Canis lupus familiaris: one gene and its partners. The protein of the gene in region 3 interacts with the protein of the main gene of each other region in a biochemical or structural test. Links are inferred from orthologs where the notes say so. Each region holds a gene or a part of one and is shown on either strand. Other genes may lie near its edges.

The links.
Region 1: the proteins of OIP5 (region 3) and HJURP form a complex in vitro, tested with the Homo sapiens proteins (2 studies listed by BioGRID). The link is inferred for Canis lupus familiaris from reciprocal best matches to the Homo sapiens genes OIP5 and HJURP.
Region 2: the proteins of OIP5 (region 3) and MIS18BP1 form a complex in vitro, tested with the Homo sapiens proteins (2 studies listed by BioGRID). The link is inferred for Canis lupus familiaris from reciprocal best matches to the Homo sapiens genes OIP5 and MIS18BP1.

What each region holds. Positions count from the first base shown.
Region 1 is NC_049246.1:45,488,654-45,499,490, forward strand, and holds the end of HJURP (Holliday junction recognition protein), read right to left. Parts: intron 10,487-10,837; coding exon 10,394-10,486; intron 9,402-10,393; coding exon 9,326-9,401; intron 7,387-9,325; coding exon 5,802-7,386; intron 5,314-5,801; coding exon 5,193-5,313; 3' UTR 5,183-5,192; intron 4,942-5,182; exon of another isoform or gene 4,828-4,941; intron 4,596-4,827; exon of another isoform or gene 3,866-4,595; intron 3,291-3,865; coding exon of another isoform or gene 3,254-3,290; 3' UTR 2,992-3,253; downstream 1-2,991. Other genes in the region: MROH2A (maestro heat-like repeat-containing protein family member 2A), read left to right, coding at 195-260, 349-722. UniProt on the Homo sapiens protein: Centromeric protein that plays a central role in the incorporation and maintenance of histone H3-like variant CENPA at centromeres.
Region 2 is NC_049229.1:22,848,954-22,858,970, forward strand, and holds the end of MIS18BP1 (mis18-binding protein 1), read right to left. Parts: intron 8,630-10,017; coding exon 8,481-8,629; intron 4,429-8,480; coding exon 4,341-4,428; intron 2,157-4,340; coding exon 2,102-2,156; intron 1,928-2,101; coding exon 1,824-1,927; 3' UTR 884-1,823; downstream 1-883. UniProt on the Homo sapiens protein: Required for recruitment of CENPA to centromeres and normal chromosome segregation during mitosis.
Region 3 is NC_049251.1:8,670,764-8,681,681, forward strand, and holds the end of OIP5 (protein Mis18-beta), read right to left. Parts: intron 10,573-10,918; coding exon 10,491-10,572; intron 4,724-10,490; coding exon of another isoform or gene 4,628-4,723; exon of another isoform or gene 4,340-4,627; intron 4,334-4,339; coding exon 4,232-4,333; 3' UTR 2,151-4,231; downstream 1-2,150. UniProt on the Homo sapiens protein: Required for recruitment of CENPA to centromeres and normal chromosome segregation during mitosis.

The DNA of each region.
Region 1 (10,837 bases), on a different chromosome or scaffold from region 3:
CCTGGAGCAGGAGGGGGGCAGGCAGCAGAGTAGGGGCCAGCCCCCCTTCTCGGTGTCCGATTCCACCGCATCTGGCTGATTCTCACTTCAGCATCTTCAGCGGAGCCCTACACAGATTGTCTCAAAAGGTGAAAGGGAATCTCTCGCTGCCCTAATATTTGTGAGCTGGGCATTTCCCCTCGCTCTCGTTCCAGGCGTTATTATGAAGCAGATGTCTGCACATCATCTGAAAAAACTGGACTTTCCGGCTTTGCGGGACTGTGAGTAGTAGAGACGGCTAACCTCATCTGGGGAAACTTCGAGAGACCCCTGGGGGAAGAGCCAGCCGACCCTTCCTTGTGTAATCAGGGCCTGCACGGGGGCTTCCCAGGAAGACAACTATTTGGGCGTGGAGTCCTTCCGTACCCCAGGCCTTCTGCCCGGCTCCCCATCACGAATATTTGCGAAATGCATCCTCCCTGATTCCTTCAACTGATCCGCATGGAGCTCGGGTTCTGTGGGTGATCTTTGTGTCCCCCCTAGAGGCTAGCAGAAGGCCCAGATGGGGGGACGTGTGTGCAGACACAGCTCCACCTGCTGTCTCCTGGCTGCAAACACAGGGGTTCCCCTTCCTCAGCCCGCGGGAGCCCCGCGCTGTGACGATGGTGGCTTGGGGGGAGCAGGGGGCCTTCCACTGGCTCAGCGGCCCCCGGGGCGGAGGGGACGGCCGAGCTGGGTCCTGATTGTGTCCCGTGTCTGCTCACTCTCAGCTCTCCAGGAGCTGCAGCTGGACTCGGATCCCGGGGTCCGGAGGGCAGCCCTGGAGACTCTCAAAATCTTGGATACGTGTAGTCAGCACCTGCTTTTGGCTTCATCCGGAGGATTTTGCTAGGTGGTTCGAGTGTAAAGTGTAAACTGCGTCCTTGGAGGGCCAGGCTGCAGCTGGAGCACGGCAATGCAAAAATATTTTTAATTTAGTTAAGAAAAGCATCATTCTAAAATAATCAGTGTCCCTTTCTTTCCTCCCCCTTGAAATAAACCCCCATTGTCATTGCGAGTGCAGATTCCTGACTGTCAGGTGACAACATCCCAGAGCCCAGACAGAGGGGTTTAGTCCCAAGAGAGCGGTTTTATTCCCGCTTCCCGGGAGCGTGCGGGTGTCAGACTGCCCCTTCAGCCCAGGGGGTCAGAATCCACCTTTGTTCAGTGCCACCCAGCCCTGTGCCAACCAGCGAGGAGAGGCAGGCTGCCGCAGTCTCTGCCCCTCAGGACCCCATTCTTGAAGGGAAAAGAGGCGTCTGATGCCGGGGACTGTGACCCAAGTAAGGAGGGCCCAGCCAGGGTGTTAGTGCCCTAGTGGTGCGGGCGTGGGGAGGAATGGCCACTGGCCGGGGATGATGCTGGGGTGCTTCTTTCCAGGGCCTGATCCTGGAGACCCGGGATCGAGTTGCACATCGGGTTTCCTGTATGGAGCCTGCTCTCTGCCTCTCTCTCTCTCTCTGTCTCTTATGAATAAATAAATAAAATATTTTAAAAAAAGGAGAGAGTCCTGAGAGGACCCTTGAAAAGGCAGTACCTCAGAAATGTAACGTGCAAGGTGTTTCGCACACACTCCCCACCTCCACCGGCCTGGCACCGACTGGTGGCAGCAGGGGGGTCATGGGATCTCTTCTGTTGCTGGACAAACTGGAAGAGCTATTTGGGAGGGCGAGTTGGCGATCATTAGGGGAAGCTGAAGACACACATATCCACGACACCGGTATCCACGACCAACTCACCGCTAGAGGTCTGCTGCAGGGGAGCCCATGCCCGTGCTCAAGGATCACGGCTGCGTGCGTCCGTAGCAGCAGACACCCAGCAGGAGCGTGGAGGAAACCAGCTGCCTAGACTCTTGAAATACGAGACACCCACATCCATCAGCTCCTGTCAAGGGCAAACACCTCTTGGTGAAACCAAGCTGCAGAGAATACACAGACCATCCCACGCATCAACTGTAGTGTCCTATGTGCATGTGCATGCGTGCTCAGGGATGGTGGTGGTGGTGTGACAAGGCACAGTTGTGGGTAAGGGTATTTTTTCTGACCAAGAGCAAAGGATGGGTCATGCTCCTTTTAGCAAGGTGCAGGCACGAAGGAAAGGTCTAGCATCCCAGGGGTCTGTGCCAAGGAAGGATAAGCTGCCTGCAAGGGTAAGACTCCTGGCAGGTTCTCAGCGCAGGTCTTCTGATTCACGGCTCTCAGGACTGAATGCAAACCCCCAAAATTCACACATGGAGGCCCTAACCCTGATGTGATGGTACCTAAAGTAGGGCCTTTGGGGGGGTGATCAAGTTCAGGTGAGGTCCTGAGGGCGGGGCCTGCACGAGGAGGGCCCTCAGCAGAGCCAACTGTCCGGGCACCCACTTCTGGCCTCCAGAACTGTGCAAAATACATTTCTGCTGCTTGGGCACCCGGTCTGTGGATTTATTCTGTTAAGGCAGCTTGAGCTGATTCATGCAGAGGTGATGTCCTGGCATGAAGGCGTCGGTGGAAAGGGAACCATCAGAATCAGAAGGGGGCAGGGAGGAAAGGCGTGCAGAATTTAATCTCATTTTGACCTTTTATTTAAAAGTCTGCCACACATGGCAATGCATGGGCTGACACTGTGCTCCTAATGTGAAATATTTTATTTAAAAAGTCACCGTGGTACCTGATTATAAGCAGCGCCAATGAAAATCTGAGATGTCAGGGACGCCACGTGGCTGTGAGGTTGGGGACCATCCCAGGAGTGTCTGAGCACACTTTCAGCTAACGTTATGATGTTAGGAATTACTTTTCAGGGTTACTGTTTCAATTTGCTACCTGCTAATGTGGAAGAGACCAAGCCTTTGGCTCTGAATTTAAACCTTAAACCATCGTCTCTGTGGCTTACAGGAGTTTCAGAGCAAAGGAGGTTGTCTAACCAAACAGGAATGAAGAGCATCCCGAGGACGTGTCTATATTTTAAAAAGAACACAGGAGGAACACAGGCCTATAAAGGTCACGTGAAAAATTTTAATCGAGTAACTTTATTCAAATAACTTCTATACCAAGAACTCAAAGAGTCATTTCAATGGGATCAGTTTCACTGACATTTGCTTTGAAGGGCAGTTAAGTGAAGCCAGTTCTCACATATTCTTGAGGATTAAACACACACACACACACACACACACACACACACAGGAAGGGGGAAGATAGACAACTCTCTAAAATAACTCGGCTATACGTCTTCAGCTTTCAATTTCTCTAATACAAAGTCACTTTTCTCTTCCATCTTGAAAGAGGTGTTCTTTCCTTTAGAAAAAAAAGAATGAAAATAGTTTCAGTAAAATTCCATTAGAATTCCCAAGCCATCAAAAGCATAACTGTTTTGTATCGCATATGTTTGTGCGTCCACTACAGACAGTAAAGGGGCAGGGATGTGAAAGCCCACCTGATGGTAAACCCCTCCCGGGCAGCCGGGCAAGCGGGCGGTTACACCCACGGCCTTCGAATCCTGGCCTGGCCCCCGACACCCGGGTGAACCCAGGACTTAGAAGGCTTCAGCTACATTCCCTTATTTGTAAAATAAGAGACAGAACCCGCCTGTTGGATGAAACCCATCTCATCAACGGGTTCATGCGTGGATTAAGAACGTTCTCTACAGCCTGGCACCCAGAAAGGCACCCAGACGTTAGCCATTAAAATCCCTTCTGTAGTCACAGCTCATGAAGCTTTGGTCCCTTTCCTCAAGACATTTGTAATTTAAGTAGGAAAACAAGGAAAAATGTGGAAAATGGTTAAGGATGTTTGTATCACAGTTCTAAGACGAAACTGCAAAAGGCGTCCAGGGGGCGGCCACCATGACTTATCAAATTCCAGGGGCGCACCAAGGGCCCCACAAAGGGCTGAGTCCTCCTCCAGGTGCTCCAATGCCAGGCAGAAGGCACTGCTCACGGCTGTGACCTTGGTGGGCCGTCCCTGCTCCAGGCACCCTCGCTGGGCAGGTGAACGAGAGAGCCAGGCATCCAGAAGGGGGATCTCCTGAGGTGGGAAGGTGGGTCGGGTGCTGGTGAGCCAGAAGAGGGCTGGGGAGCGACCCGCTGAGCTCCAGGGGCTGAGCCAGCAGGCGGTGTGACCTGCCAGCAAATCTGGGGACGAGGTGGGAAAAGCCAGAGTTGAGCCTGAGGAGCAGGACGGACACTGCAGGAGCAGGTGCAGGCTTAGACGAGCGGGGCCAGTGGACAAGGGAGCCCTGACATCTGACGGGTCAGGGGCTGGGGGACCCCGGGAATGGCTCTCACTAGAGGCGCTGCCTTCGTGACAACCCTTCTCAACTGAGAAGGAAGGTCATTCTGTAGGGTCACTGGTACCCACCCTCAAGTCTCCTTGGAGTCCCTGCCATGGTCCCTGAAAGCCTCGGCCCCACAGGACTCCCTGTGGCTCCCACTTACCCTGCTGAGGGCCTGGTGTGAGGTGGGTGCAGGCAAAGAGCACAAGGCCCAGAAGAAAGGGAAAGGATCTCATGCTATCGGGGGAGGGCCTCCTGGGGCGTGGGCAGTCCCCTCCCTTTCTGCTCCAGCTCCATGTCTGGCCTCACCAAGGCCCCGGACCTCAATCCTTGACCAGAAAGATCAATCACAACGCAGGTCTGGTTAATCTGACAAAGGCTACCACCCACCTGGCTAAGGCCACGGGACGTGCTGGTGGCGGGAGCGGCTTCGGGGAGCACAAGCCAGATGGTAGGTGGAGAAAACAGGAGCAGCCCAAGAAGTGGAAGAAGGAAGAAAGACCAGACCACGATTCTGACCCTGACCTTGACGTAGCCGCAGGAGCCGGGGTGGCCACTTACACGTTGTGCTCACTCGGAGGAGGCAGCTGGCTCCTGCACCCAGCCTCTGCTGTGGCCAAGGCACTGCAAGGTTTTTGCAAATATTCTCCGAGGGGAGCCGTGTGGGTCTGAATGCTGAGAAGTATAAGCAAAGGCAGAGAAGGACCTGTGGGGTCTGAGGGGTGGTGACAGTGACAACTTGGGGCTTATCTCTGAGAGAAACACACCTGCCCCTGAGATGGGATCATGGCACAAAGAGAACACGGGGCGTCCAGGGCACACGGGGTCCATCTGAACGACCGCCGAGGAGGGAGCAGGAAGTGGTCTACGTGGCCTCGCCTGCCCACACCACCAACGCACAAACCCCCAAACGTACACTCGAGGAGTCACGTGTCTGAATCCTGGCCTGGGGATACACTGAAGTGCACGCTGGAAAGCCTGGCGCTCATGTGAAACAGGTGAACAACCCGCCGTGATGTGCAATGCTCCCCCCTCCGCCAAGCTTCTCTGGAGAAAAGAGAGTGGCACACGTGTGTCACTGAGGGGTCCACACAAACCCAAGCGGAGGGCGAGGTAGGACAGCAGACAGACCTCCCCGTGGAGCACGGAGATCGTGGGCAGGGCAGGAGCGCGGGGCCGAGCAGGCCGCTCCCGCTGTCCCCAGGAAGGAATCCAGAAATAGAAGGAAAGTCACTATTTCCAGATCAGCTTTGTGGCAGCTGCTGCCTGAGACCAGGAGAGGCTGGGAGGACAGCCTGACGAGGACACCAGTGAGGCTTTTCAGAGAAGACCCCTGAACGCACTCCGGCGGGAAAAGTGTAAGATGTTCCCAGTCGGAACATTCTCGGCTCCACCTCGATGCGTCTTATACATGAACATGCTCTTGGTATAAATGCTCGTTTCAGAGGAAGGAAAAGAATTTGGGAGAAAGCTTGGAAACTGAATGCAGAAGAATCCTATTGCAAAACACCCACATTCAACCAACAGAAACGCACCTTCTTTTCCCAGGGGGGCTGGCGAGGGCTGGGCTCTCGCCCGGCCTCAGGGTGGCCTGGCCCACCACACGCGACGAATCCGGGGAACTGGCCCACTGTCCATACAGCAGGGAGTCTGATAACTGGCGTCTCTTTGGAGGGGACTGGTGGGCCCTCCTGGCCGTGAGCATGAAGCACTCGAGTGTGGTTGAGCCCGGCGTGCTTTCTCTGCTCCGCTGGGGTGATGCTGACAGCTTTGGGGGACCCTGGAAGCCAAAGTCTGGTTTTAATTTTTCTAAGATGCCTCCTTTTGGATACGGGGCTTCCACACTTGATCTCTCTGGAGGTGCTCCGATACATAAAGGCGCCTGGGTCCGCTTCGGCGATTTCTGGCAATACTCTCGATGAAGCTTGTCAAATTTTTCTTTAATTTCACTGTAACGATCCCTTCCGCAGCTTAGAGGCAGTACCCCTGCTACTGAGCTAGTTCTGCTGGGGGATAGTGACTTTCCAAGTATTCCAAGATTGTTTCCTTGAGAAAGAAGGTCCAGCGTCTGCTCAGAGCGGCTGAGACTCTGCGTGGAGCTGGTCTCTGGAAGCGAGGGAGGGGAGCTCCTCCTCTGCAGGCGTCTCCCTGCTCCAATAGCTCCTTCACCCAGGTCCTCAAAAGCCTCATTTGACCTCTTGGCTTCGGCTCTGCAGAAAAGCCCGCTGAGACTGCGGATTTCTAAGGCCTGGGGGCCGCGAGGGCTCGCTGGGTCACCCCTGTACATGGCCACAGCCGAGGGTCCTGGGGGGGCAGTCAGGCAGGGCTGCTTCCCGGGGCTGGGGCAATATTCCTGATGAAGCTTATCAAATTTGATTTCAATTTGCCTGTAATGATTCCCTCCCTTGCCTGGCAGTACTCCTGGTCTGGAAAGGATTTTTACAGGAGAAATTAACCATTTTAATGCCATGAATCTATTTTCCCGATCAAGACGACGCACTGCCCTGGCATCTCCGTAAGTCATCGAAGAACTCCTCTGGGACATTAAACTTCTTAGCCCCTTAAACTCCCTCCAACTTGGATCTAATTTGCAGACCTTGAGTTTGTTTACTTTAGGAAAAGCTTTTTCCATTTTTAAATCTGCTTTCTGGCCAGAAGCATCTAGTACGTTCTCACAATCTCTTAACACTTCCCTATTCTTCCCTGGCTCAGAACAGGGAGGGAGTCTGTCCTGGGGACCCCTCCGAGAGGGCCCGGCTCCCCGGCAACGCGTCCTGTTCATTCTGCTCTTACACTTGTGCCTCCGCCTGGAGTTCCAGCTGTGAGCGATGAACGAGGTTTTGGTGGAGATGATGCACGACGGCTTTGTGCTCAGCAGCCGGCTCATGGAGTGCAGCATGCCTGCGTACAGGTCGCTGATCGTCACGTCACAGATGTTGTCAGCCTCAAGGGGTGGGCTGCTTGAGAAGCTGCTCCCCCCGGCCCCGTGTAGCCAGAGACTGTCGCTTCTAGGCACCAGGGCCAGGTCTGCCGAGCAGGGGCGTGAAGGATCACACTCTCTGGGACATGAAGCTGGCTCAACTGGGTCGCCAGGACTCTCTCCAGACACGTCACAGCACCCTGGAGGAAAACATACACAAAGTGATGTGCGTGCGTGTCATCTGCAGAGACCACGCAAGTAAAGGAGGGTGGATCATGACCATGACGCTGTTTTTAAGCAATACAAAAACCAAGACAGAAAGTCCAGGAGAATGTGGGAATAGATTCTTCTCAAACTTAAACCCAGACTTCCCTAGAGGGGCCTTCCTTCCCCAGGTGATGGTTTACACACTGGATGCCTTTTCAAAGTCTCACTAGAAACAATACAGTGACACTGTTTACCTGCGGGGCTGGGGAAGCAGGGGAAGGCACAGGGCTCCCGAGACAGATCTTCATGCAGACTTAACTTTCACATCATGTTAAATGTGTTATGTATTTAAGAAATAATATTAAGGGACGCCTGGGTGGCTCAGTGGTTGAGTGTCTGCCTTCATCTCAGGTCATGATCCTGGGGTCCTGGGATCGAGTCTCACATCGGGCTCCCCACAGGGAGCCTCCTTCTCCCCCTGCCTGTGTCTCTGCCTCTGTGTCTCTCATGAATAAAAAAATAAAATCTTAAAAAAAAAAAAAAAAAGAAAGAAAGAAAGAAAGAAAATTAAACCAAAGATAAGGAGAACCCTAAAAGCAAAAACAGACACAGAAAGGACCCAGGTGCATATCAAATAAATAACGGAAAGAGGAAAAAGAATCCAAATGACTTTGAACACAATATTCTGAACGCGTACCCTCAGAGGGATACGGTCTGAGGATCAAAGAGCTGCTTGGAACTCCAGAACCTTCCTTAGCAGGTTGTCGGCAAGTGGTGGCAGGGGCCGTGACTCCAAACGGCTCCATGCTGCACGACCAACCAGATGAACACAGGGTTTTGGTGCTGGGGATCAGCGGGGCTGGAGCCGGGGTGAGGGGATGACGTGCTCAAAATTGACGGGTCGGGCCACAGGACATGGAAGCCAGCGTGAAGGGCTCCTGCAGCCTGCATCTGGGACAACTCGAGCATTAGTGGTTTCTAACATGTGAATTAAAAATAAAAGTCTAGTTCTTCTTGGTTCTAGAAAAAAATTTTTTTTTTTTAAATAAAAAGCATGTAGAGATAAACGAAGAAACAGAATTCAGCAAAGAAGTGAGACGGCTAAGCTTATATATATATGCAACAACACCAACAGGTGCACATGGGAGGAATGGCAGGACCAGAAAAATGTGACTTTGCAGCAGGACTCAGGTAGGAGTTGTGGTCTGACGCCCAAACCATGGGATGTGAGGATTGTGGGGACCCAGGTGATCTCAAGGGGAAACCCAGACAACTCTGGGGGAGGGAGAAACCTGGGGGATCCTTCCTTGGCTAAGTGCCCAGGCTTATGCATCTCCAACAACGGGACAGAGAGACGAGTAGTATTTGTGCCAAAAATGTTTAACCTGAACTTAACCTTGAGAATGTCCAGAGAAGTCCAAATTGAGGGACATTCTGGAAAATTATCAGTGGACAGGACTATTCAGGGAAGTCGTGATAGGAAAAGTGCCGACGGTGACAGCACACACGGCCCAGGGGCCTCCTGGCCTGTGCCGGGCCTACCGCGGCTGTGGGGGCTCCCTGTTCTTAGGAGACCAGCAGCACATATGTGAGTGCAGGCCGATGCACATCGCGTGTGAGCGTGGGTGCAGCACGGGTACGCAAATGCCACAAAATGTGGATTGTTACGTGTCAGCAAAGGAGGTTCACTGTGGGAGTCCTGTGTTTCTGGAAAATCAAAAAGTTTCACAGCAGCAATTAGCATGCTGGAATCCCAGAGGAAAAAAAGCAGTTCATTGGTTAAATATGAATAATTTGCTGTCTCTAACAGTTTATGTCCATGAAACATGAACGAGAGCAAAAGGGTGCCCAGTGTTAAGGGCGCTGCTCTGAGGGGCGCCGTGGCTCTGAATGAGGGACACAGTTCATGCAAAGGTTCTATGTCACACTCACCATGGGCAGGTGTGGCAGGTAAGGCTGATGAAGGGATCAGCGTCACATGGGCGTCCTCTCCATCTCCATCAGTGCCCTGAAATCAAAGCACAGGGTTCTAACATAATCACCACATGGAGGCGCCCTAAGATGCCCCCCATGGCCAGTGCCGTGCGGGGAGGGATGGTGTGAGGAGCCACTCCTCGCCAACCACAGGCTGTGCATCTGAGCGCGGCCGCAGAGGTGACAAGCATGACTGCACTCACAGTGGCCACTGCCTCCAGCGGTGGTGGGAAGAAGTGTCTTAGTACAATCAGGGAGCTTGGTCGACGTGGTCCCCAGGGAGCCCCCAGGGAACCACTGCCACCACGCACCTGCCAGGACGCCCCCGCTGCCCTGGGATAAAGGGAAGGCCTTTTCCAGTACATTCGCCAAGTCAGTGGTCCTCAGACACAGCCTCCTCACTGGTCAGCAGCACAGTGAGAAAAAGTCTTATGTTCCTATGAGGTTTGCTGCCTTTGAGATAAATTACTCATCCCACGACACGTGCCTCCTAGTTATTTGGTATGAAAACGTCCTTTATCAGACTTTATCAGAACTTAGAAAATAGAGCTGGCCTTCTTGCTCTTTGTCAGGCCAAGCTCTGACAGACGGCTGCAGTGGAGTGTGGCGGGCATCCACGCTGCTGCCCACACCGCACACCAGGTGCAGTGGGGACCCTGCTGCCAGTGCCAGCCCCGGTCACACCAGAGCAGCAGGGGGTGGAGCTGTCACTCCCCCGTCACTGCCCCCAAGGGGGGTGGGGTCCTCTACATTTCTGTGAGCTGCCCCAGAACAGTGGGCCATGAGGGCGCACCCCACGAGCTTCCCTGATAGCCGCTGCCCCGGAGGACCCAGAGCGCTTCCTCAAGACCGGAAGTCTGCAAGGCCACGAATGAAATGGGTTAAAAACTTGCTCGCAAGGCTCCTTACAGGCTCCATGAAGAGTGAACAAGCTCCATGAAGAGTGAACAAAAAAACCTGATTAGTGGACCTTGATGTGTCTTAGGGATTCGATTATATGAAGATACATCCCGGGAAGCACGTTACCTCTGACCAGCCTTCGTCCTGCAGCAGTATATCCACTTGGGTCAAGTATTTCCTCCTTAACTCATTTTTCGAAGGGCTCCAAGGCGCTGCAGGCTGATAGAAAAGACAATCAGTATTCTTAAGAGCTCTGGGGTCTGGATGTGCTCTTGGATTCTAGAACAAACCAGCAAGTTGGTTCATCACGCATCAGTAAATGAAGTTCTACAGATGGCACCGCAAAGTGGTCCAGGCCCTCTGAAAAGCCACCTGACCCAGAAATGGAACTTTAGATAATGTACCCAGTGGCAACAATCCCCAAGAAAGTAAAAAAAAAAAAAAAAAGAAAATAATTGAAAACAATCTGAATGTTCTTAGGTGAGTCCAGGGCTCAACTATTAGAATTAGACTCCATCAGTATGTTTCTAAGACAAGATGCTCAGCAGTTTGGGTCGGGAGGCAGGAGGC
Region 2 (10,017 bases), on a different chromosome or scaffold from region 3:
TTCACGTTGACCTGGGCTGCTGGCCACCTTGCAGCATCTCCTCTGCAGACACCATTATGCTCAAATTCTTTGTGTCCAACCACCAAACGAAATATTCCATAAATAAAATGGCATGAGGGACATAACCTAGAGGATTTTATTTACTTACGCTTGCTGTGTACAGAGCTCAATCCATATTTAAGCTGCAACAGCCCTCTTTATACTCTCATTGGTATCACGTAACTATCAGCACTATTGATTATTAACTCATCTTGGAGCCTACTTTAAGTCTCCTTTGGAGGTTACTTGATAAGCCTTACTAGCTTATCTTATGACCTGATGGGAAGAAATGTGACTAATCAGGTACCTGGCAGGTGGGATACAACAAAATAGACCAGGAAGGACACTGAAGAAGTTCCAGCAGGACACAGGGAATGTGGCAGTGGTGGTGGGAGGCCACATTTTTTGGTTTGTGTTAAGTCTGTGCTATATCAAAATTATCTTTTTGTTTCCCATTATGGAATTTAACTACCTTCTAACTAACTCCTTAAAAAAAAAATCCATTAACATTAAGCAGAATAGTATAAACCCAAGTATTGGCAACTTAAGTTCTAAAACAGTATTTGACTCTAAAATAATCCCTTTATTTGTTCCATCCTCCATCTAAATTCTTTGTGGCAGAAACCATTATGATCTAAGTCTAGCTGCAATATTATTTTTAAATCTTGTGTTGCTGTAAATTCTATAGTTCTAGAACTGCTGATTATTACTAAACTCTTAAGAAACATGAGCATGTAGTTTTTAGTGAAAGTTCTGGTAATTTTTGAGGCAAGGAGCTGAACCAGTAACAGAATGCATATTTGTTTACTTTCTATGATCCAGTAATCAAACAACAACCAAAATATAAAGTTACAAAAGTAAACCAAGTTTATTTAAACAATCTAACTGGAGAGAAAGAGTAAGTGTGTATATACACTGTAACCAAAGGAAAACTATTCTATGTCAAATTTCAAAACAGAGTGGTAGAATAGGCTAAAAAAAGGTTTATTTCTAAAGGAGCTGTCTGAAAGGAAAATAATGTTACTATGACATGGCACGTTAACTTCTGGTGGTAGATCAACTACTTGAATGTTGAAAAGTCTAATCCAGTCGTTTTAACATTGAGACCAAATGTAAACTGCATATGTAAATAAGGCATAGTGCAACAAAATTTGTTCTCTGATTTCTACCTAATAAAATATTGAAAAACAACAAATTTACATAGGTTTCAGAGATATGCTAATCACAAGTTTTAAGAAAAAAATCACAAGATAGAGTGTTACATAGTTTTAACAACATGTAATTTAAACATTAGATCAATTCTGGCTTGTATACCAAGTGGTAACAAATGCTGACTTGGAAGTTTTCATGAATTTAGTAGCTGGCAGTACTATCTACTTCTCATTCTCCCTCCCCTATCCCTTGAGGATAGCATTTTCTGGGAAGCTTTTAAAAAAAATGGAACATGATTTTCTTAACGTAAACAAACTTGGACGGTTAAGAGATACTTATGTAGAATATTTTAATAATGCAAAACCCAGAAATTCATAAGTATCTATACAAGCAAAACAATTTCCTTACATTTTAGTAACCTGCAGCAATGAGGAATAGTTACAGAAAGATGTTTTAGATGAATTCAGAGTAAAACATCCCTCTGTTAACTATTCATCTCCTAAAACCTCTAAGGAGGAATCCACAATTTCGTATGATGGTATATTATGAAGAAAATATATGTATTCCAAAAGAAGATACAAATATATTATCTGCTTCTTGATAAAAATCCTGAAAATATTTTCTCATTTTTACTAAGAAGAATCAGAGTCTGAAAAATAATAATCTTTCTCTTCTTCATCTAAAGACTCCATAGCATTAGCGAAAAGTTTTCCAATACCAGAGTTTTCTCTTAATTCTGTAAAAAGAAGTTTAATAAAAGATTAATATACTTCTAAAAGTAATTTCAATGAAATTGAAAAGAACTGAGAAATTGAATAGATCTGCCCACTTCAGAGCAGTTAATTTTAGTACCATGTTAATACAGAGACTAACTTATAATAGACTGAGTTACAAAAGAAAAATAAATTACCTTTGTTAAACAGGGTTTTTTTTCTTGATGTTGGAGTTGAAAAATCAGTTTCAACCTGCAAGAGAGTTCATGTTAATAGCTAAATAGTACCTCCTGTGAGTTCTGCCTCAAACACAGACAAAATAAGTATGCTTCATCCTGAGTACCTTGAACACATGCCTATAATGATACCTAATCACATTATGATTATCTGTGAAATGTCTAATTCTTTTTCCACAGTTTAATCTATCTAGGGTAAGAACACTTCTTCAATGTTGTTTCCCACCACTGGCAAACATGACTATAAGAAAATATTACAAAAAAAGAAAAAAGAAAAAGGAAAAAAAATATTACAAATTAATGCTACAGGGGTGAAAGGATAGTCTATGGGCCTCTGACAGTTGCCAAAATCTAAGTACTCATGTTATTCCATTACACTAGCAAAATTTCAATTGTCTAAAATAGTAATTTATATCACAAAGTTTAAGTGTAAAATACATATTTATTATATCAATGCTTTTTAAACTTTTGGCCATGCCTGGCTATCTTTAAAAAATGAAAAGGAATAGAAAGGAAATATGACAGGGTATATAGTATAGTGGTGTACTAAGGGTAAAAATAGAGTTCAAACTCTTGAGATACAAACTCTTGTTCAGATTGTGACATAACTGTACTTTTTCTTGTGAAATGAGTTAAAAACATTATTCTATCATTTAGCTCTCAAAATCATTCAGCAACATTAAACCAGTATCATGATTCCTACATTGATACCATACATAAATAAAATGAAACTAGAAAGCCCAAGTAGCTTGTTGTCTTATAAAGCTGGTATGAGGAGTTAGGGCTTGAAATCAGAACTTTTAACACTAAATCCTTTGTTCTTTCTATCCTCACACACGACAAAATATTAGTCTATGAAAAAGGACTAAATCACAAGGATATTATGTAGTTCAGGAGACTGCTAAAATTATGACCCATTAAGAAAAACAGAAGTCCAGTAGTGTTTAGGATGATGCCAGAAATACAAAGAAACAAATTTTTTTTTTTTTTAATTTTTATTTATTTATGATAGTCACACACACAGAGAGAGAGAGAGAGGCAGAGACACAGGCAGAGGGAGAAGCAGGCTCCATGCACCGGGAGCCCAACATGGGATTCGATCCCGGGTCTCCAGGATCGTGCCCTGGGCCAAAGGCAGGCGCCAAACCGCTGCGCCACCCAGGGATCCCGAAACAAATATTCTTAATAGGAAGTGTCCTTATTAGATCTGTCCACGTGAATTTTTCATCACTGTGCAGAGAACAGACTGAGTGGATTAGGATCTTGCTACTAACTCAGTATGGTCCATGGACAGCAACATAGGCATTAGCACCTGAAGCCCGTTAGAAATGCAGAAATCGGGCAGCCCGGGTGGCTCAGCGGTTTAACCACCACCTTCAGCCCAGGGCGTGATCCTGAAAGACCCAGGATCAAGTCCCACGTCGGGTTCCCTGCATGGAGCCTGCTTCTCCCTCTGCCTGTCTCTGCCTCTTTCTTGTGTCTCTCATGAATAAATAAAATCTTAAAAAAAAAAAAAAGCAGAAATCTCAAATCCCTGGATCAGAATCTGGTGTTTAACAAGATCACTAGGTGATGCCTTTGCACATTCAAGTTTGTGAAACAATCGTCAAAGCAACCAACTTTCACAGGCAAAATAGGGACCAGAAGCCAACCAAATCCTTCTTGCTATGTTGATTCCAGGTCCTTTGCAACAAACCAAAATTTCATTCTCATAAAGAATGTGGGACTGGGAAAAGGGAATCTAAGAAATAGTTTGTCTACACCTTCAATTTTGGAGATATCCTTTATTTTTTTTATTTTTTTTATTTTTTTTTGAGATATCCTTTAAAGAGTTTAGTCTCCAGGTTGATTTTTAAACCTGTGTCCAGAAGTATCTACCATTTCCTGTGGACAAATGAAACCATAAAAATTGGATGTGATTATGTAATCCCAATGTTTTAGAAATTCTCTGAGAAGAATTATACTCTAGAAAGTATGCAATATAAATATTTCAACATGGATAAGGGAAGAAGACATTGCCATAGTCTGGTGAGAAGGAATATACAATCAGGTGATAAGGTGGTCCTCGATAAATTGTCATTCTCTAAGATTAACTACTTTGAGGGCAAGAACTTTTACATAACTTGTAACTGCCACAATCTGCCATGTATTACAGTTGTTCAATAGACATGATGAATAAATGAAGAATAAATATACTTACTGTTTTTTTCTTGATATTGCCCCAGACAATGCCACCTTTACTTTTATGGTTTTTTTGCATACGAAAAACATATTTATCACAATCATTCCTGTTTGAATACAAAATTTTAAGTCAACAGTTAACTACCATATTTCTATCCACAGCTTGAATAGCAACTGACAAAAATAATTTTAAATGTGTCTCAACCTTTAAGAAGTATATTTTCTGGGAAAAAGTGTATTTTCTGGGAAGTATATATATATATAAATTTTCTTTTCTGGGAAGCAAAAGCAAAACTAAACTTTTGGGGCTACATCAAAATAAACAGCTTCTGCACAGGGAAGGAAACCAATCCACACAAGTAAAAGGCAGCCTATGGAATGGGAAAAGATATTTGCAAATGACATAGCTGATAAAGGGTTAGCATTCAAAATATAAAAATAACTTACACAACACCCCCCCAAAAAAAATCCAATTAAAAAAAGGCAGAAGACATGAATAGACATTTCTCCAAAGACATCCAGATAGCCAATAGACACTTGAAAAGATGCTCAACATCACTGATCATCAGGGAAATATATCAAAACTACAATGAGATATCACCTTCCACCTGTCAGAATGGTTAAAGTCAACAGTACAAACAATGGGTGTTGGTGGGGATGTGGAGAAAGGGGAATCCTCTTGCACAGTTGGCAGGAATGCAAACTGGTACAGCCTCTGTGGAAAACAGTTTGGAGGTTCCACAGAAAGTTAAAAATAGAACTACCCTATGATCCAGCAATTATACCAGTAGGTATTACCCAAAGAACACAAAAATACAAATTCAAAGGGATATGTGCACCCCAATGTTTAGAGCAGCATTATTTAATACAAGTGCACATATATATATATATATGTAAATATATTAGGTATTTAATATATTTTATAAAATATATAAACATAAATCTACTATACATACACACACACATACTGGAATATTACTCTACCATATAAAAGATCGAATCTTGCTGTTTGCAATAACATGGATGTAACAAGAAAGTAGAATGTTAAGAAAACTAAGTCAGAAAAAGACATATACCATATGGTTTTAGTCCTATCTGGAATTTAAGAAACAAAACATGAACATGAGCCAAAAAAAAAAAAAGGCAAACCGGCAAACCAGGAAACAGACTCAAAAACAAAAGTCTATTTGTCTTTTCTACTTTGTAAAAAAAGTTTTTATTTATTTATGAGAGAGAGAGAAAGAGAGAGAGGTAGAGACACAGGCAGAGGGAGAAGCAGGCTCCATGCAGGGAGCAAGACATGGGACTCGACCCCGGGTCTCCAGGATCAGGCCCTGGGCTGAAGGTGGCACTAAACCACTGAGCCACCTGGGCTGCCCACGTCTTTTCCATTTTTTAAAAAACAATGGTGTACTGATGGAAATGGACAAAACATTTCAACTTAACATTTTAAAGGAACATTAAATAAGAATAGGAAATTATGGTTTTGCTCATTGTTCAGTGCTCTTTCTGATCACTATCTTGCTGCCTCTCTTTTCCAAAATTCACTGTGACTTCTACCTGGACTCCCTTTTATTAGACCTCTTACTCCTTTCTGTTTACTTGCTTTCCTGTCTACATCAAATAGTTAACCACTTTAAGGATATACCTGGTGATGAAAACCCTCAATTTATAGCTTCCAACTAACTCCTGAGTCATTTCTTTTTAGCTTATTTTCTCCCCCTCTCATTCTTAGCAAATAGGTTTGGCTCATTTTACAGACACAAATGGAAGCCACAGAGAATGGCTATTCTTTTTTTTTTTTTAAAGATTTTATTTATTCATAAGAGACATAGAGAGAGGTAGAGACATAGGCAGAGGGAGAAGGAGGCTCTCTACACGGAGCCTGGGGGCCAAGATCACGTCCTGAGGCAGATGCTCAACCGCTGAGCCACCCAGGTGTCTCAAGAATGGCTATTCTCATTTCCCCCTACAATTCCTAGTCCTTATGACAGTAAATACCAGCTGAACACCAATTGTAATTCTCTCTTAGCTTCAAGATCCTTTATGATCAATTATCCGTTCCTTTATGAAAATTTGGGAGCAACCTTAAAGGTATAACATATTTCTAAATGTGTGACTGTATTAAGATATTAATGTGAACCACAAGCACTGCTACATAGCTAGTGAATAAGCCTAGCCAGCTGTTCAAGGATCTGCACCTCATGAGTCCGTTGCCCTATATGAAATAAATGTTTTAGGAAATATAGTCATGATATAAATGAATCTACCATGTGTTCTATTGGGGAGGAGGGGAAAGTATATTTCCATCATTGCAAAAGTGATATTAAAAAAACCACCACCACCAAAACTCACTTCACTATAATTCTACAATCTAGAGATAATGGCTATGATGTTTATAGTCAAGAAATTTCCTTTCTGAATACATATTATGTAAACTGGGATATTGTTTATAATTTAACTCTTAGCTTTTAAAATCTATTGTCAACTGAACATTATTCTTGGTTGTTAAAAATTCTTGAAGGTATGATTTTTAATTGTTATATCCTATCCTATAATGTGGACAAATCCTCATTTCTTAACTTTCTTTATTGGACATTTAGGTCATTTCCATATCTTCAGTATTATGTTTCATGACAAACATCTTTGTCCGTACAAATGTACATACATACTTGCCCAAATGTATTTCCCTATAAGTGACTAAGAAAATTCAAGGGCCAAAGGGATGAATATCTTAAAGCTTTTGATGATTTGGCCAAAGTACTTATCAAAAGCTTTGCCCAAAATTATATTCTTAGTATACTTTCATCTGCAATGAATACTAAATCAAAAATAATCTGTAGATTTCTGGGGAAAAATTATGAAAATTATGTTTTTACCAAATAAATGCAAATTAAAATTTCACCGACCCTCAGGAGAGGACTGAATACTTTTTTCTCAGTCATTATTACTTGGCTTCTGCCTCACAACCCACAGAATTACTCTTAATAAAAGTCCTGCTTGATTGCCAAATGGAATGACTTATTTTCAGGCCTCATTTTTATTTCTTTCCTTCTTTTCTCTGTCATTCAACTGCTGGTTGTCCCTGATTTTTCTTAGTTTTATTTATATTTCAAGTATCTATATTCACATAGTTCAAAATTCAAAAAGTTTCCTTCTCTCATCTCCAAGTGATCTAGGTTCTCTTTGTAGGGATCAGTAGTGTTTTCAGTTATATATTCTTTCAGATATTTAATCAAAGGAAAGCAATTAGGTATATATACATGTATATATGCAAATATACACAAGTATACACACAGCCCGTTTATACAAATTTTACACAATTTACCACATTTACAGAAATGTTAACACATTATTCACTGCATTTTTTTCACTTACTAGATCTTGAACGTTTTACCATAATAGTACATTAAGACTTTCTTCATTAATTTCTATGGCTACATAATGTACCAGTTTGATTAGTCCCTTACTGATAGGCAGGAGCTGTTTCCAGACTTTTGCTATTATAAGCAATACTCTAATAAGCTGTATATTCACTATGTGAGAAGCAGGACTGATAGGTCAAATATGTGTATTTATAATTTTGATAGATACTCACAAATTGCTGCCCACAGAGACCGTACTAATTTACCTTCTCACTAGTGATGCATGAGAATCCCTTTCCTTTCCTCTTAATCCATAGGAGTGCTGCGTTAGGAAAATTAGCCTTTTCCTTTGATGAGTTCCATATATTCTTTTGTCAGATCACTGTTTATCTTTTTATTGCTTATGGTAGTTGGGTAAAACTTTTTATCTGGTTGACTTTATGATTCTTTTTGTTAGTGTATTCTGAGTCTAGCATCATAGTGTGAAAAGACTTTCACTTATCAATGATTATAAAATAATCCTCCAAGGTTTCTTTAGGTATATTTTATAGTCTAATTTGTTATGTGAAAAAATTTGATCCATTTAGAATTTATCCTGATGTAAAGTGTAAGTTGGGTCCCTACACTAATGAACAATATTCTCTACTTATTGAAACTGTCCATCCTGAACTTCTAGGAACTATTCTTGATTTTTTTGTTTAATGATGATTCTTCTCATTATCGACATCTACTCTCTGACTCATGAAATGTTAAATGTTGATGCAGAGAATTACAGTCTATATATGCATATTTACCTATTTATAGAAGCTAGCATGCCAGGACTGACATGGTGACACTGAGGAGTTTTTGCCAATGGAAAGACAACTGATGATGGAGTTGTTGGATTTTTGTCCATACTCAGCAGAATATCATCTTCTTCTGCACTGTCTTGGAGACTTGGCAACTAGAAAACAAATAATTGTTACCAGCCAGCAGGCAACCCTAACATGGAATTTCTCATTGTCACTAAATATTCTTAGGTGGGCTGATAAGTTGTTTTCCTCCTTATAATTTTCCAGCTGAGATCTCTAAACACATTAGTAGTTAACAGAGCCTCAGCCTCTAAAAAAAACTTTGGTTCTATTGTGTTAAGTGGAGACAATGACACCTATTTCTAAAAGTTGTGGAAAGACCAGGGATCAGCAAATGTTTTCTGTCAAGGGTCAGATAGTATATTTTAGGCTTTATGGTCCATACAGTATCTGTCCCAAATATTCAACTCTGCCGTGAAAGCAGACATAGCTATGTAAACAATAAATATGTCTCTGTTCTAATAAAATTTTCTTATAACAAATGTGGTCTGCCCGGTCTGACCCATGGGTTATGGTTTCCTTACTTCTGGGTAAACAGAACAAAACAGAACTAATTCACTGATTACTATGCTTGGCACTTAATAGGAACCAAAGCAGTATTAAACTTTTGTGTATACGCATTTCCAATAAATAATTCAATCCTTCATTAAGATTTTGCCTATCTTTACATTAAAGCCTTAGAGAAAGTGGATTTATGCTACAGAAAATGAACTTACTTCACTATTTGTTTTATTATTTTTGTCTTTAAAATGTTGCTACTATTGCATTTAAGCCAAAAAATATATAAAACCTAAAATGATGGTAGAATTATATAAAGGATATAACCCCTAAATGACCATGGCTGTTATGTAGTTGGAACACAGTAAAAGCCTCAGATGGCTCCCTTAAAATACTATTTATTTATTTATTTATTTATTTATTTATTTATTTAAGATTTTATTTATTTATTCATGAGAGACACAGAGAGAGAGAGAGAGAGAGAGAGAGAGAGAGAGAGAGAGAGAGGCAGGCAGAGACACAGGCAGAGGGAGAAGCAGGCTCCATGCAGGGATGTGGGACCCGATCCCAGGACTCCAGAATCGCACCCTGGGGCTGAAAGCAAGCGCTAAACCACTGAGCCACCCAGGGATCCCCTTAAAATACTTTTTATATAAAATTCTTTATAATCTGTATAGGCAAAAAGAGCCCAGATAATGATTACTAAATTCTTAAAGCATTGTATAGCCTTTTAATATTGGAGACGTATAACAATATTTAAAAAATGAATAAAAATATTATTCTTGAAGTTAAGCTCACTAAAACAACTCCTTGAACTTTTACACCTCTATCATTGTCTATATCCATTTTGCATTAATCTTAATACTCTTAACATTTATATTTATATTCTAGAAATAGTTTCAAATTTGCACTTTCTATTGTATCTGTTTATGAAGAACATCCTTCTTGGACATATACATTGCTTCCAGTTTTCTGCTGTGAA
Region 3 (10,918 bases):
TTTAAAGTAAGAAAGTAGACCTTAAAAAAAAAAAAAAAAAGCAGATCTTATAAACTTCCTTGGGATTGGCTATCCTCAAATGGAGAAGAACCTAAGCTATGTCATTTTTGTGGTATAATCACTAAGAGTTTTCCCTGTGATTTATGACCATTCATTTAGCACACACTGATATACTCCAATCCCAGGTACTGTGCTAGATGTTAGGGTTACAAAAATGGAGATAGTCTTTACTGTTAACTCAGGAGCTTAAAAGTTTACAACTCAGGAGGAATTTCAATATGCAGTTTTATTCTTAGGACTACAGAATTTTGAAAATACTGTATTCAACATATACAATGCTAAATGGTATCACATTGGAGCAAAGTAGACAGTATCTTAATATAAATCATTGATGTTTGTTAGACTTTCATAGGAACTTTTTTTGTTTTTAAGATTTTATTTATTCGTGGGAGACAGAGAGGCAGGCTCCATGCAGGGGGCCCGATGTGGGACTCAACCCCAGCACACCAGGATCACACCCTGGGTATGAAAGCAAGCACTCCACCGTTGAGCCACCCAGGCGTCCCTCATAGGAACTCTTATACCACCCAAAGACTCCTTTAAAAGGGGAATTAAAAAGCCAACCATTTATAATATCAGTGTAACATTTATGGGAGACATAAAATCAAGACTGTAAATGCACATACATGCCTTTGACTTTCCCACTTTAGGACTCACTCTTACAGAAATACCAGTACAGATTTGCAAAGATAGGTACAAGGGTCCAATACAAGAATGGTTAGGTTTGGATACATTCACATCACTGAATCATACAGGTCTTAAATAAAATAGTTTGCATATGGGCTGGTGTGGAAAGTTGTGATATTTATTGTGTGAAAAGCAGAATACTGTGAAAGATAAAGCTTTGTTTTATGTCTAATACATGAACATCCACATGCATAGAAGATATTTTTTGAGCACCTAGTATGTGCTAAGCACTGCTGTAATTACATTAGATGTATTTCTTAATTTATTGAATCTTCACTACAGCCCTAGCTATTTTTTAAAGATTTAAGTAATCCCTACAGTCATTGTGGGGGCTGGAGATCAAGAGTCACATGGTCTTCTGAGCCAACCAGGCACCCCTGGCTTTTTTTTTTTTTTTTTTTTTTCTTTTAAACAGAATAAGCCTGAATTTCTCAAAAAAGCTTCATTTTTTAAAAAAGATTTATTCATGAGAGACACAGAGGCAGAGACAAAGGCAGAGGGAGAAGCAGGCTCCATGGAGGGAGCCTGACATGGGACTCAATCCCAAGTCTCCAGAATCTGGCCCTGGGCTGAAGGCAGCGCTAAACCGCTGAGCCACAGCTTGGGCTGCCCCAAGCTTCAGTTTTTAATTTAGCTTTCTGACGCTGTGCTTGTGCTTTCAACACTTTCACAATGATTTTCTGCTCCTCAATAAGGAAAGCATACTTGATCCCATCATGAACACATACATGGAACCGCCACCCTAGGCCCTGCCGACACATTTTCTCATTGTAGAGAACCTAATAAGAATTGCAGGTCTCACAGCATGTACTTAAAGTCGGCCTAGGCACATGCTACATGTGAATTTGGGGGCTTTCCCAATCTTCCTGGTATAAAGGTAAACGATTCTATCACCAGGGTGATTCTATCACCAGCCTAGTTTTGTTGGAGGCTGTATTGTAGGACAGCCTTTGATAGTATGTCAAATGCTGGGACCATTCTGAATGCCTGTGGATGCCGTCCTCCCCAAAAGGAAAAAACCAACCCTAGTTTTTTGTTTTGTTTTTTAAGATTTTATTTATTTGACAGAGCCAGAAAGCAAAGCAAGAAGCCTGATGCAATGTAGGGCTCGATCCCAGGACCCTGAAGTCATGACCTGAAGGGAGATGCTTAACCAACTGAGCCACCCAGGCACCCCAAAACCAGCCCTAGTTTTAATCCCTATTTTACAAGAAGTGTTGAAGTAAATTCTTCGTGTTCATGGCTAGTAAGATCCAAAACACATGTGAATAGAAATAATTTGGCTCTAGAGCTTCCCAGCATGCTATCCTATGCCTCTCAAAGATGGAAAGGGAAGTGTACTTTGCACCCTTTATTTTCTATTTATATCTGCAATTTTTTTTTCTAGAGTAAGCATTACTGTAATTTGTATTTAGGGGGAAAATATCTAAAGCCAGCCAGCTTAATTTGATGTTAAGTTTAAACATTTACTTTTTTTTTTTTTTTTTAAGATTTGAGAGAGAGCATGCCAGAGAAAGCATGAGCAGCGGGGAGAGGGAAAAGCAGGTTCCCAGCTGAGCAGGGAGCCGGAGATGGGGCTCAATCCCAGGACCCTGAGATCATGACCTGAGCCAAAGGCACATGTCAAGCATGTAATTTTCTATTGAACTCTCTGCCAAATCAGCAAGTCCAGAGATTACGAAAAATAGCTACATAAGAACATACCCACACACAAAAAAATCCCAGGATGATTTAATATAGTATTGATTTATTAGGTCCATTCTTTAGAAAATACGAGTTTTTCTAGTACTTGTTTCTTTTTAAGATTTTATTTATTTATTTATTCATGATAGACACAGAAACAGAGACATAGGCAGAGGGAGAAGCAGGCTCCCTATAGGGATCCCGATGCAGGACTCAATCCCAGGACCCTGAGATCACCTGAGTCGAAGGGAGACACTTAACCACTGAGCCACTCAGGTTCCCTCTGGTACTATTTGTTGCCAAAGATTTCACCCTTATTTATGGAATCAAATTTTGCAACTCAAAAGCATAGAGCAAATCAGAATTTTCTTGTTTAAAATATTTCTAAAGGGAAATGGCTTTATGCAATATAAAGTAGAAAGAATGGAAAGAACTTTAAAAATGGCTGCCAGCTACATCTGAACCAAGTCAACTTTTCTAGACACCACCACTTGGCTGTTTCTTATCTGGATTGGGCTCTTGCCAGCCCCTCAGTAGTCTGCTTGCTTTTCTGCCCCTATAAACCCCTTCTCCACAAGACAACCATAGCAAGGTTCTACAAAAGTGAAACCAAGGCTTCCATTGTTCTTGGGATAAAAACAAACATCCAGGGGGCATCTGAATGGCTCAGCAGAGGAGCATCTGCCTTCAGCTCAGGGTGTGATCTGGGGGGTCCCAGATGGAGTCCTGCATCCAGCTCCACATAGGGAGCCTGCTTCTCCCTCTGCCTGTCTCTGTGTCTCTCATGAATAAATCAATAAAATCTTAAACAACAACATCATCCAATAAGTCCTTGTACCCTCTGGTTTCTGGCCACTAGTTCACCTCCTGCAGGCCTTCTTTTAAGGGCCTCTCCACAGGTCCCCCTCCATTCCCTAATTAACTCCTAGTCTTTCAGACCACTGCTGAAATCCCACTTCCTCAGAGCAGCCTTTCCAACCCCAGGGGTCCGGTAGCTGCTTCATGTGCTGGTAGCTCTAGGTCTCTTTTCTTCAAAACCTTTACTATAGTAATAATTTCACATGTATTCATGTGGTTGTTTGAACGTCCACCTCTAATGAGATTAAAAGCTCTGTGCAGGTAGAGAGTGGCTCTTTTTGCTTACCTTTTATCCCCAAAGTTAGTAGACTTTTATTAAATGAATAATATGACAAGGTACTGAGTGTAAGTGGTATATAAAGCAAAATATGAAAAACAGCATTTTGGTGAATGTTTTATCATTTCTCTCATTATTACCTGGGTAGGCTCAGTTTAGAAATGAAAAGAGAAAGATAAATTGTATATTTTCCAGTTAACTTACTGAATATTACCTACAGAGTATGTTTGTACGTATATTGCATGTAAGAAAAAAAATGTTTTCTATCTTCATCATCACAACTGCTCCATGTAGGAATAAAGTAGTCAACATGAAATACAACTCTGTTTTCATAACAGCCGTATATCTTTATGTCAGACCATTTGCAGGACACTGCCTCTTAACCTACATTTGCAGTAAAATATGTATTCAGAAACAAACATTTATGAAATTGATAAGCTAAAATAAGTTCTTTTATTTATGATAGTCACACAGAGAGAGAGAGAGGCAGAGACATAGGCAGAGGGAGAAGCAGGCTCCATGCACCGGGAGCCCGACGTGGGATTCGATCCCGGGTCTCCAGGATCGCGCCCAGGGCCAAAGGCAGGCGCTAAACCACTGCGCCACCCTAAAATAAGTTCTTAAGGCAAATAGCTATGAAACCTGGGTAGGGGTTTCCTTTGTTTCTCATTTTCTAGACAAAGCTTCACAAATCATTTGGAAAATCAGCCTCAAGGTGAGAATAGAGTTCACATCTCTTCTTAGCCAATCTTTCTTCCTTGAGAACTCCTGTTGATGAAGACAGCAATAAGACCTGAACCTAGTTAAGCTTTATTTTTTTAAAATTTATTTATTTATGACAGTCACACACACACACACACACATACACAGAGAGAGAGAGAGAGAGAAAGAGAGAGAGAGAGAGAGAGGCAGAGACACAGGCAGAGGGAGAAGCAGGCTCCATGCACTGGGAGCCCGATGTGGGATTCGATCCCGGGTCTCCAGGATCGCGCCCTGGGCCAAAGGCAGGTGCCAAACCACTGCACCAACCAGGGATCCCCCTAGTTAAGCTTTAATCCTGGATCAGTTTTCTGGCTTGGGCTGGTCAGGAGTTCTTTCCTTCAGAATCTTCATCAGTGAATATAAACGAGTATGTGTTAACATTATCTTCTCTTTGAGCTGGGAAGAAAAATAAATCGGTATCAGGGCATCTTGAGCTTAATACTTATTTTGATGATTTTAGAAGCCACTTCAAATTTAAACCAGTGGTTGATAGCTGGTAATGTCTCAACACATTACATAAATATGCTTGTCCTATTTCTTTCTTTCTTTTTTAGATTTTATTTATTTATTAGAGAGAGAGAGAGAGAGGCAGAAACACAGGCAGAGGGAGAAGCAGGCTCCATGCAGGGAGCCCGACCTGGGACTCAATCCCTGGTCTCCAGGATCACGCCTGGGCTGAAGGGGGCACTAAACCGCTAAGCCACCAGGACTGCCCTATTTCTGAAAGAACTTTATGCAACAAACCTCAAGTGCCCAGTAAGATCCTCAGATACAAAGTTTCATGTGAAAAAAGACCAGCCACTGCTGAGCATCACTGCTTCTCCTCCTCCCTCCTTCCTACCCCTTATCGCCAGGTTTAAGTGCCAAATATTGGGAAGGAAGGAAGACAAGAAGAAGGTGGGGTAAGAAAGCTTGTGGAGAAGAACCTCAACTACTCTTCCTCTCCTTTTCTAGGGGCAAGAATCTAACTTTTTTTTTTCTTTGTTCACAGTAACAAATGCCTGTCTTCAAAAGTAGCCCTGGTTGTTGGGTTAGGAACTTGTGTTTGTGGTAATTAGGTTATTTTTGACAAGTTCTTTCACCTAAGAATAGCTATATCAGGAACCAAACTTAATGGTATTATTCAGCTTAGTAAATAAAGTTATCATGGAATACAGAATTATGGATAACAACCTTCTGTTGGGGATCCCTGGGTGGAGCAGCGGTTTGGCGCCTGCCTTTGGCCCAGGGCGCGATCCTGGAGACCCGGGATCGAATCCCACATCAGGCTCCCGGTGCATGAAGCCTGCTTCTCCCTCTGCCTGTGTCTCTGCCTCTCTCTTTCTCTCTCTGTGACTATCATAAATAAATAAATAAATAAATAAATAAATAAATAAATAAATAAATAAATAAAAACAACCTTCTGTTGAAGACAGGTTAACAACACCATCAACAATAAACCATAATTTGAACATAATTTGCACCATTCATAAAATCTGCTTTATATTATCATTTAAGACACAAGAATAATCCATATTCATTAGGAAATGCTGCTTAGGGACGCCTGAGTGGCTCAGCAGTTGAGCTTCTGCCTTTGGTTCAGGGCATGATCCTCGAGTTCTGGGATTGAGTCCCACACCAGGCTCCCAGCATTGAGCCTGCATCTCTCTCTGCCTAAGTCTCTGCCTCTCTGTCTCTCATGAATAAATAAATAAAATCTTAAAAAAAAAAATGCTGCTTAAATTAAAAAAGTAACTCTAGAGCCTCCCCTCCCCCCCCTTTTTAAGATTTTATTTATTTATTCATCAGAGACACAGACAGAGAGAGAGAGGCAGAGACAGTCAGAGGGAGAAGCCAGCTCCAAGCAGGGAGCCCAATGTGGAACTCGATACTGGGACCCCGGGACCACACCCTGAACCAAAGGCAGACGCTCAACTGCTGAGCCACCCTGGCATCCCTAGAGCCTCCCAGTCTAATTGCAGTACCATTGGATGTGGTGAATCATTTCTCTGTTGCCTTCAAGATTGTTTACTCTCCTCATTTTTACTATGATGTATTGGGGTATTATCTCTTCTGTGTTTATCCTATAAGTCCTTTGTGGACTTATTGAGGTTTTGGATATGTAAATTCAGGTTTTTCATCAAATTTGGGGTTTTTTCTACTATTATTTCTTTGAATATCTTTTCTACTTCTCTGTACTCCTTTTGGTATTTATTCTCTTTACCAAAAAATGTTTAGGTATGCCTGATGGTGTCCAAGAGGTCTCTTCAATTCACTTTCCTGCATTTTTTTTTCCCTTCAGTCTCATCAATTTGTCTTCAATTTGCTGATTCTTTCTTTGGGCAGCTCAAATCTGTTCTTGGGCCCCTCTAGTGAGTTTGTAATTTTAGTTATTGTACCTTTTTTTGTTGTTGTTATTGTGCTTTTCAACTCCAGGATTTCCAACCTTTTTCTTTTTTCTTTTTTTTTTTTTTTATAATTTCTAACTCTTTGTGGATATCCTGTATTTGATGAGATATTGTCATCATACCTTCCTTGACTTCTTTAAGCAGTTTCCTTTCGTTTTTTGGACATTTATAGTGGCTGCTTCAAAGGCTTTGTCTGCTAAGTCTAACATCTGGGCCCTTTCCTAGGCAGCTTTAGATGCCTGCTTTTTATCCTATTTATAAGTTATACTTTCTTCTTTGAGTGTTTTCTCGTTTTTTTTTTTGTTGTTGTTGTTGCAAACTGGACATCTTTTTTTTTTTTAGGTTTTTTTTTTTTTTTTTTTAGATTTTTTTCAGTAATCTCCACACCCAACATGGGGCTCGAGCTCACAAGCCAGAGATCAACAGTCACACACTCCACCAACTGAGCCAGCCAAGGTGCCCCACAAACTGGACATTTTAAGTAATATAGCCAACTGTGGATACTAAACACCCACTCTTCATCTTCTTATTGTCCTTTATTTATCTGTTTTCGTGAGCTGGCTAGACTATTTCACTGCTATCTACTTCCCCCACTGTAGGAGACCATGCTGCCAGTCCACAGAAAACAAAGCCTTGGGCAGGTGCGGTCACCTAGAGGACAGTGGGTTCAGCAAGCTGTCTTTCAATGTTGCCTTGGTCAATGTCAGGCTGTCAGCCTCTGCTGGCATCATACCCGAGCCTTCCCTAGTTCCTGGGCTGATTGCTCTCCAGGTTTTGACAATGCCCTGGGACATAAATTGTTCATCAGTCTAATCCAATTAAATTCAGGCCCCACCTTTGTAGGTTAGTCTTTTAAAAGACTGGTAGCCAGTCTTTTTGTTGTTGTTCTGATCCCAGGGGGGCTCTTCTTAGCTGTGTATTCTCTGATTCTGTCTGGTAAACTTCTAACTAATCTATGGTTTAGCTTGTTGCTCTCATGGAACTACCAGCTTCCTCTTAATTGCTTACCTCAAAATGTCCATTTTGGGCTGTACTCTTAGACTTGAATGTCCCCAAGCTTTGTTTCAAATAAAGTCAGTTCCCTTGAGTGGTAGGGGAGGGGGACACTTTGGAGTTCTGTTTTTACAATCTGCCTCTTAGCCCAGCTCCTCCCAACCTAGGGGCCAGTGTCTCTTGGAATGACACCCTTACTTTACAAGCAGAGTGCTGGGTATAGATGCCACTTGTCATCTTCTTGGCTTACCTCGGCCAGTGTGAGACCTCTGCTCTACATGCAAGCTGGGGCAAGAGTGAATGGGTTCCTAATACTTAGCTTGCTGTGCCTTTGATAGAACCTGTACCTACAAATGGCCTTTTTTTTTTTTTTTTTTTTTTTTTTTTTTATGATAGTCACAGAGAGAGAGAGAGAGGCAGAGACATAGGCAGAGGGAGAAGCAGGTTCCATGCACCAGGAGCCCGATGTGGGATTCGATCCCGGGTCTCCAGGATCGCACCCTGCAAATGGCCATTTTTGACTGGAATAGAGCTTTTGATGAGAATTACTGATGCCTGCCACTCCTGGAAGATATCACAGCCCTCAACTGAGAGCTATGGCAAAAGGGATCCCTGTGTTCTTGGCTACAGCAGCCCAGATAGAGCCTCCTGCCCTCTCTCTAAGGTAGAGAGGTATGAGAGGCAGTGAGCAGGCTGTGGCACAAATACCACAGGCTTTCACTGTTCTTACTGAGGTTAAATGTGTTCTTTTTTTTTTTTAAAGATTTTATTTATTTATTCATGAGAGACACACACACACACAGAGAGAGAGAGAGAGGCAGAGACACAGAGGGAGAAGCAGGCTCAATGTGGGATCGATGTGGGACTCGATCCCAGACCCCAGAATCACGCCCTGGGCTGAAGGCGGCGCTAAACTGCTGAGCTACCTGGGCTGCCCTAAATATATTTTCTAAAGTAAGTATCTCTTCATTTGCTTTATTCCTTGAAGAACATTTCCTACAGACTTAAAATGGTTGGGTTTTTTTGTAATTTTATTCAGTTATGGCAGTTTTGCTGGGGGTGGGGGAAGGAGGTCCATGGAGCTCCTCTGGCTGCCATTCCAGAAGTTATCTCCCACAGGAGTGAAAAGTTACTGACCCCCCTCATCAACTTTGTTGCTTAGAGCAAAGGTTAGCTAACTGTGACTGCCCATTTATATCAAGTTTTGCTGCAACACAGCCACACCCACTTGTTTATAATACTGTCTGTGGCTGCTTCTGCACTGCAATGGTACAGTTGAGCACTTGAGAATGGTCACAAAGCTTAAAATATTTGTCATCTGGTCATTTATAGAAAAAGTTGCCAACACCTTGCTTAGAGCATGGTTTCATAAGCTTAGTTAGCTATGCAAAACAACACCCTCAAAAATCACTCTTTCCTTGTCCTAAAAGATTCTTAAACTTTAAAAAAAAACAAAAACAAAAAACACCACTGGTTACAAAATGTATAATTAGCAAGGAGTAATATATTAACAATACTAAAAACAAAATGAACGATAAATTCTCAGGTTGGTCTTCTGAGCTTAAGTTATAGCCAAATTTCCACTCAGAATGCATCAGTAAGCTACCGAAACAAAGTTGCTTTTTTCAACTTCAAAACCATCAACAGCTAGAAAACTCATTTAAATAAGAATTCCTAATGATTGTTTCACCACTCTTTCCTGAGACATCTAAACAAGAAGTGCTGTGGAAAGGACAGATCTGGGGCACCAAGTTGGCTCCTTTGGAGGAGCCTGTGACTCCTGATTTGGGGTTATAAATTCAAGCCCCATGTTGGGTGCCAACTATTTAAAAATAAAATCTTTAGGGGCACCTGGGTGGCTCAGTGGTTGAGCATCTGCCTTTGGCTCAGGTCGTGATCCCAGGATCCTGGGATCAAGTACCATTTCTAGCTCCCCGCAAGGAGTCTGCTCCCTTCTGCCTATGTCTCTCTGCCTCTCTCTCTCCGTGTCTCTCATGAATAAATATATAAAATCTTTTTTTTTAATTTAAAAGTAAAAATAAAATCTTTAAAAAAGAGAGAGAGAAAAAGGACAGATCTATGAAAGGTGCAATATCCATTCCCAGCAGAGGAGAGTAGTATAGGAAATACAGGATCTAAGCAGCTTTCTTCCTCCTCCTGAACTGGACCTTACAATATTTGGTTTTGTGTCACAAATTCAATAAGAAATGCCAAACCAGGTATAAAGGATTATTGGAGTATTATACCATGTCATCACCACCAAATTCACTGGAATAAACTGCCAGGAGTTGTCTATACAGGCATACCTCATTTTATTGTGCTTTGCTTCATCACAAAGATCCATGTTTTTTATAAGCTGAAGGTTTGTGGCAACCTTGTGGGAGAAAGTCTATTGGCATCGTTTTTCCAACAGCATTTGCTCACTTCATGGCTCTGTCACATTTTGGCAACTCTCAGAATATTTCAAACTTTTCAATATTATTATATTTATTAGAGTGATCACTAATCAACAATTACAACTTCCTGAAAGCTCAGATAATGGTCAGCATTTTTAGCAATGAAGTATTTTTTAATTAAGGTATGTACATTATTTTAGACACTTAAGTAGACTACAGTATAGTATAGTGTAAACATAACTTTTATATATGGTGGGAAACCAAAATAATAATTTGACTTGTTTTTATTATGGTATTTGTTTTATTGAAGTGGTCTGGAACTGAACCCACAATATCTCTGAGGTATGCCTATATTAAAGGAAACATACAATCACCATGAAATTTTACCTCTGTAACCTTTTCTGGTAGAGACAAGTTGTCAATATCCATCTCAGATGCATTTACTATGGCTTTTGTTTTTAAGAGATAGCTGGATAGAAAATATACAGAGAAAATATTAGTATCAGTTAAGATGATCAATGAACCAAACTTGTCCTCTAAAGCAATGTCAGGCAAAGACAACCTTCTTACAGATTTGTTTCAACATTTGTATTGCATTTTGTAGGAAAAACAAATTCTCAGTTAAGAAATCATTAGAGACCGTCTCATCTTACCCCTTGCCAGCCGGGAATACATAAGACAAAATTATCCCACAACAAATTAAACACAAAAACAAGGGTCCTATGAATAACTAAACTGTATAGCAGTTAGAAGAAAAGTAATCATATGGTAACAAACACTGTTGTTTGCCTACCCAGTAGCCATTCCTAACTTCT